Linked DNA regions of Oryzias latipes. The protein of the gene in region 1 interacts with the protein of each later gene in a pairwise test. Links are inferred from orthologs where the notes say so. Each region holds a gene or a part of one and is shown on either strand. Other genes may lie near its edges.

The links.
Region 2: the proteins of lamtor5 (region 1) and telethonin interact in binary tests that used the Homo sapiens proteins (3 or more experiments, as listed by UniProt). The link is inferred for Oryzias latipes from reciprocal best matches to the Homo sapiens genes LAMTOR5 and TCAP.

Annotation. Positions count from the first base shown.
Region 1 is NC_019865.2:10,897,216-10,901,141, forward strand, and holds the start of lamtor5 (ragulator complex protein LAMTOR5), read right to left. Parts: upstream 2,976-3,926; 5' UTR 2,837-2,975; coding exon 2,802-2,836; intron 2,713-2,801; coding exon 2,651-2,712; intron 858-2,650; coding exon 740-857; intron 1-739. UniProt on the Homo sapiens protein: As part of the Ragulator complex it is involved in amino acid sensing and activation of mTORC1, a signaling complex promoting cell growth in response to growth factors, energy levels, and amino acids.
Region 2 is NC_019866.2:5,747,865-5,751,421, forward strand, and holds telethonin, read right to left. Parts: upstream 2,215-3,557; 5' UTR 2,104-2,214; coding exon 1,955-2,103; intron 1,877-1,954; coding exon 1,486-1,876; 3' UTR 825-1,485; downstream 1-824. UniProt on the Homo sapiens protein: Muscle assembly regulating factor. Mediates the antiparallel assembly of titin (TTN) molecules at the sarcomeric Z-disk.

The DNA.
Region 1 (3,926 bases):
AGAAAAAAGAGATTTTAGACACTATATTCATTTTTTTTTTATTTGAGTATAAATTGAGTTGGTAATTTCATAACTATATAGTTGTTGTTTTTGTTTGTTTGTTTGTTTGTTGTTCAGCTTCATTAGAAGTTTTTTTTTTTTGGTGTTGTGCTACTTAGACAACAGGATTGAATTCTATTTACTTGTGTTTTTGGTAAATTTCTAATTCCAAATGACAAAGTCCATTTCAGAGGTGGGAATTCCACTACATTCAATAGTTTAAAAGAGTCCAGAAGGTGGCAGCATAGTCCAAAAAAATAAATACTCAAATCCAGGTCTGCCTATATGATTATCCATGAGTCTAACCCTCACAACCACTTAATCCTGGATAATATGGTTTGTTTTGTATCTCACTGTTAAGCCACTTTGAATTAAATCATCCATTAAATGACTTAAATGTACAGTATTGAGGAGGTGGGGAAATTATTATATTCCAACATCCGGAAGTTCCAAAAGTCATGAATAGTATAGAGGAGCCAATACTCAGAAAAATAATTAGGCATGGTCTCCCACGTGACCAGCAGGTATAGAGGATGCTCATCTCTGCTGCACCTCTGTGGCACAGAAGTTGAAGCTGATTGCACAGCGTCTTGGAACTCTTATTTGTACACTTCCACATTTAAAACTACAAAGGCACACCTTAAATGCACTAAAACTAAGAAATAGAAGAAGTTGTGCAAAGGCACAGTCCATGGCTCACCCTGACTCGGACTCTAGGCACACAGTCGGTGTGTCCGTCAGGTCTCTGGTGAGAGCAGCTGCTTGTTTAGCCAGAACAGACACCACACCTCCATGTTCATCTGACAGAGATCCACGACCTAAAAAAAAAATATGTCAAAGACCCGCTCTGATGAAAATTGTGTTTTAAACATGTTCTTTTGGCATTTTTCTGATGATGGAGAACATATTCAAAAATGCATTTTTCAGGATTTGTTTATTCAAATCGTTGTGAATCAGCAGAATCCAGACTAGATCCATGGACGTCTTTGTTTTTCTCATCCGAGCAGTTATCGGGTTAAAAACTCTAGGACTGTATAGCTCTGATACTGCTCGCTATTTTTGATGTACCGCTAATGTTAGGCTTGGGGTCTGAAGGGCTGAAAGCTAGCAGGAGAGCATGTAAACAGTAAACAGATGAGTGACGACAAGTGGGCTTACTTCACGCCGACAGTCCTGCTCACAACTCAAGAGGTGAATTTTTAAAAAAACTAGTGCTGCTCTGCAGAAACTTTGTTCTGGAAAATGACTATTTTTTTTGGGTCAAAAACAGCTTCATCATAAATAAAAGACTAGGAATGCTTTTGAAATAGATCAAAAGATGATCAGAGTGGGACTTTAAATGATGACCTGCTTTAGATGCATCCTTCTGCTCATCAGATCAGTTCATTTGGACTGCAGTCTTTATTTAGAATTTAACTTTTTTCTTAAAGTAAATCTGATTTCACGTTTTTACAATGTCAGAGCACCAACAGTGTGATAATTTAACATGTAGCTTTAACATCTGGCAGCAAAGGTGTAATAACCAGCAGCAGATCAGACCACCACAGTGAGCCAGAATTCTTTGCTATGTTTGCTGGTCTGAACTGTTACTATCATATAATAGATCAAATCAGTTTGCCTCAAGAGGAAATTGTTACTTATTCAGTTGAAGACCCATTTTTAAATTATTCCGACTCAGGTCTTCAACACGGAAAACAGTCGATCAGTCATGAGAGCCAGGCATGTCCAAAGTCCGGCTTGTGGGCCAAATCCGGCCCCCTTTCAAATTTTCACCGGCCCGTAGGCTCCTACATAAAATCAACAGAACGCGTCCTGCAACAATATCTAAAAGCTGTGTGGTTGGCTAAATCAGACTTTATAAACCTGTGGAAACACTGTTGTGCGACCCTTTTGTGACACTCTCTAGCTCTTTAAGGGTCAACCTCTTAAAGGACAAATGGAAAATTTGAACATTTTTTCAGTGAAATATAAAACAACTGTGTCTGCCTAATGGGCCAGAAGACTGTGGCTGTTTTCATGGAGTTCAATATCAAGAGAAACTACCAGATAAGACATGCTAATACGACAAGCTAACTGTGAATGAACTGTGCAAAAAATATACAAATGTGACAGTAATTTTGGTAAAAACGTAGTTAGATGTCTGTTTTCTATGTGAAGACTGTCATGTAATCATGAAATGTCATGAAAAGTATCCCATTGCAGTATATTTAATTTAATGTGTTTCAAATAGTTCTAAGATTCACTGCAAATATGGGCCTCTTTGGAAAAAGTAACACATCCCGTTATGTAAGCAAAGGATGTCTTTAGGAGACAGATGTCTACACATGATCTGCACTGACCTAAACACTATGGGTCTTCTTTCTGAGTTACATCTTTGCCTCTCTCACTCACTGGCAACATTTCTCTAATGAGATTAAAGACTAAAACATCAGAAATAACAACATGATCTCTCATAAACAGCTGGCGGTGGAAACTTGTGTTTTTGGGGAAACTAAACTGTTGCGGGAATTTATTTATTAGCGAAACTGACGAACTAGAGAATATCGACTACGGGGTACTTCGTGAATAAATACATGTGATGTGACTTCCTGTTAACTCTGAAGAGTCTTACAGCCCAAGTTGTGTCCTTGTTGGTCCGTGCATAGAACCCCAACAACAGCTGGATTTTTCATGCTGCAGAAAAAACACGAAATCAAGAGAATTAGCCAAACGAATGTACGAAATGTAAAGAAACAAGCTAGTTAGCATAGATTAGAACTCACGTATCGTCAAGGTGTTGTTCGAGGGTTGACTCCATCTTTAGAAAACCGTAAAAAAATCAGAAAATGTAAAGTTCTATGGCCCAAAAATTGTATTTTTTGTTGTTGACGTTTGTTTCCTTAAATTCCTCCTGACAATCATGTGACTGTGACGTACAGTAAGAGACATCGCCAGGGTCAAACAAGACGAAGCGCGAACGGCTGAGCCAACTCAAAACTACAAAACAACCAACTAAAGACAGACTGATAACTGTATCTTTTAGTACAAATTAAAAATAATTGGTTTTCAGTAGAATAGAATAGAATAGAATAGAATAGAATAGAATAGAATAGAATTGACGGCTTAATTCAAATAAATGATTTTTGGTGTATTTTTTAATTCTTGTGACATTTTTCTGATGATGCAGGACACATAAAAAAAATAAGATTAAAATTGCATTTCTGAGTATTTCTTTATTCAAATCGTTGTGAATCAGTAGCATGTGCAAAAATGCCATTTGAAATATCCTGCAGATCTGACGTAGAAGCTACTACAAGCTACTACAACCAGCAGCATTTTCCATTATGATGGATTGGCTTGTAGATGACTAGATCCTTGTACATCTTTGTTTTCTTTGCCAGAGCTGACATCTGGATCAAAACGGTATGGCTGCATAGCTCCAATATTGCTAGCCATTTTTGTTGCATAATTTTAGGTTGGGGGCTGTGAGGGGCTGTAAACTGATGATAGGAAGCAGGGATTGGCTTAGTCCTCGCCAACAGTCCCGCCCACAACTCAGAGATGAATTTCTAATGAACTACTGCCACGCTGCAGAAACTATGTATGTCCCTGAAAACGACAAAGGTTTTTTGATTTAGCCTAAAAGCGGCATAGTTATAATTAAAAGACTACCGGTACTGGAAACACTGAAAATAGATCGAATGATTATTGGAGTGGGACTTAAACTGTTTATCTTACTGCAGTGCAGTGGCGGTTTTTGATATGGTCGATGTGGGCGGTCGCCCAGGGCGGCACTTCATAGGGGGCGGCATTTGCCGTTCCTGAGGCGTTACACATAATATGCTACATACTAAATTCAAAGAGGAAGCTTGGAGCTTTTAATTTGAAATTGCTTGAGCAGCCGACAC
Region 2 (3,557 bases), on another chromosome or scaffold:
TTTAAAATAGATCAAAAGATGATCAGAGTGGGGTTTTAAACAGGATTTGCCCAATGAACAAACTATGGTGCTACACTGACACTAATTTTCAAAAAGAAGCTATAAATAAGTCGTGATAGTTTAAAAAACCCTAAAGAGATTGTTTGAATTTTGGACTTCAAAGCATTTTATTTGGATTTTATCTGTTGTAAATCATTAAAGTGTACTTTTTTTTTAAACTGAACTGTAAATCTTTGTTTTTTGGTCAACGTCATGGATTTTTTTGGTTTAATTTAGGGTTTTTCTGCGGTGGTTGGTTAATCTGCTGCATGTTTTCATTTTTTATTGTGACCTACGGTTGTCTATTTACAGATTTATTCTGGTTTCCCTGCTGGCAAACACTAAAACCATCAAACCATAAACTTGTACTTACATTTTAGAGAGGAATTCCTCTAGTTTAATAATCAGTATTAGTTTTCCTAAAATCCCTTCTCAGTCCACCTTAAACATCTTCTCTTTTAGTGTTGATGTTAGGTGACAGCATGTCTGACTGTTTGTGGAGGTCTCCGATCTGGTTGATCTCCCACTAGACTTGTGGTTTTCTTCCTGCATGGTTTTGTCATGCTTGCCTCATTTTTTCAGTTTGACCTTTTTGGAATTATTTGTAACATTCATAGAAGGCTGGACTGTTAAAATATAATGCAGTACAGTGAGACATCTTTGGATTCTGAGGGTCCGAGTCTGTGAAATGGACTTTATTAGTAACTGTTAAACTCAGTTCCTAATAAAGATCCTGAGTTTTGAACGTTGTGTTTAGGTTGCACTGTAAGGAAAAACAAATAAAATTTGTGGTTTTTCAACTTTTATTATGAAAAATAATAATTTCCTAACAAAAAATCAGCATCATTGCACCTTTGAAAATGATTTACACACTAATACAAGCAGCTAGTTTATCATCGGTTTCTTTGTGAGAAACAAATAAAAGCCGCCGCTAAACTAACAAGACAGATGAGATACGCCTCTATAAAAAAACAGGTTGTCATTTTTCCCAAATCCCTGCCTGGTGATGTCCTTTAGTGCACACACGGAAAAAACACTCGATCTGAAAGCAGCAATGTGTGTGTGATTGTGCCAGTGCATTCTGTTCCCTCGGCGAAGATCAGAAGCTGGCAGAAGCTCTGGAGTCCTGGAGAGGGACTAACATGGTTTATCACACCCCCTCTGACTCTCCTCCCTCTTTCCATCACTTTTTTGACCTGCGTGGTTCTTTCACTCATTATTTTCCATTACGATTCACAGACGTAAACTTTTAATCTAACAAAAAATTGTACTTTCAGTTGTCCTTTTGTGGTTAAACCCTCAAGTCCTGACAATCAACTTCCAACATCAAAATGTGCGACACTACAGACGGGTTTACGTTTCTTCTCAAAATTATCCCTGACTTTCTTCCATTCTTGAACTTGTCATTTTTCTCATCCCCCTCTTTCCCTCTTCTTCCTCACTCTTTCACCCTCTCTGGACCTCCTGGGACATGGAGCGACCCAGGACTTGAGGCGATTTGGCGAACTCCATGGTGGCTAGTTTGACAGGTGGGAGGTCCCTGGTGATCTCGTCCACGGTCCTCTTGCCAGGACAGAGCCCGTTTGGAACTGGGATAGGCACCAAGTCCTCCTCTGTGTGTGGGCCTCCACGCCCCAATCTGATGCCCAGCTCTGTGGGAACAAAAATGGGCAGGGGCAAAGTGTTTCTCTTTGGCAGCAGTTGGTGCTCCTTCACCCCTCTTTCCACAGTGCCCACCCTGACGACGCCAGAGGGGCAGGACTGGGTCAGACAGCGGGCCTGCCACTGCCGGGACAGAGTCTCCCGGCGGGAACTGTCGTTCATGTTCATGGTTTGTCTGTGGAATTCAAGAATTCCATAAAAATCTTCTTCATAGGACAACCAATTTGAGTTGAAGGGAGTTCAAATGTCTCACCTGTCCTGGGGCTGAGTCTTGAGGTAAACACTGACCCAGTCAGCAGCGTAGCTCTCCTTCTGTGCATTGTTCACCTCCCGCACGCTGCAGGTCAGCTGACCTCCCACCACCACACCGTTACTCTTCTCCAGCACACTGCAGATTGGCATCTTCTTTCCTTTGGAAGATCTCTCTCAGACTTACGATGTCCTGAAGATGTTGGCTTGTCTTAGTGATGCTTCAGGCTTCCTCTGTCTCTGCCTGGGATGTCTTTGCTTGGGTCTGCCTGTGGTTTATATAGACGCCCTGTTGCTATTTCTGATTCGTGTTGTCATTCTACAACCAGCGTGGACGACATCTGACACTCAGTCCAATGCGCCTCATTCCCGGACAGCTGGAAGCTCATCCGAGGAGGCTCTCTGGGGGTAATTGAGCGGAAAATCCCCTGATTCTCAGATTGTGCGCCCAGTCAACTTTTTAATCACCCTTACCACACTTTCCAGCTCCGTTAAAGTATCAGTAGACAGTGATTACATAAGCAGGGAGGCAGGGATGGGACAACAAGATTTGGGTTTTGACAGACACAAACAGCAGGTGAGACTTCAATCAATCCCTAATATAATACAAGTGCAGCGAATAAGTGATTCATGTCTGACTCGGAATACTGCAGTTTGTAATAACTGCTGCTGCTTATCAATTATGAAGAAGTACTAGCTGAGATTTTACGATGCTGCATGACAACATCAGTCATCAAAGGCCAGCGGATCTTCATCCTGATTCATGAACCTGGTGACAGAGCACTAATCAGCTCAGGTTACAGATCGAGAAGCGTCCACGTAGACTCCGACAGATCTCTGCCGTGGTGCCTCACTACCGGTCTTCGTCTGTGACTCATTCATCCTTACGGGGCACTTATTTCACCACAGGGCAGGTATCACTTATCGCACACGGCACAGAACATGACCCCCACAACAAGATGCTCCATCAGACAACAATAATAATACTTTGGATTCTGATGTTAGTTTTGTCTTCTGGTTAATCCACTGTGCGTTTGATCGTACTTTTTAGTTTCGACAACACCTTATGTTAACATGAACTTTTTTTGGATAGTGGAAAAAAACGAAATGTCACCACCTCAGACATGTTGTGAAACCATAGCAACCACGAATGTCATTTCAGAAGCCTCTTAAATCATTTTGAAAGTACCATCCCTGTTTTTCAGCAGTTGTAGACCTGAAACGAGAAAAAGTCATTTTCTTTTGCAAATTATGAGAGCAGAGTGGTTATTATTTAGAAAATTGTTACAAATGTGTGAGTGGTAAAAGTTTGTGAGCTTCAGTGACAGTCAGCGGATCTGTATCACCGTGACATCTGTGCGAGAAAATAACTAAACTTTTCCAGTAACTGCTGTTGGTGACGCAGGCAGAGACTTTTTATAGGAATGGCCAGAGAGATCCGAACACCAAAAATAAATGGAAAACAAAATAATAAATCAATGTTGCTTCTTCTGCAACAGAAGATTCTTATCGCTTTAACGCTACATGTTGTTTATTTGCAACGTACAATTTAAGCCAGGACTCTACCTGAATGGAAAAGACACTGAAGGATATTTTTTTAAATAATT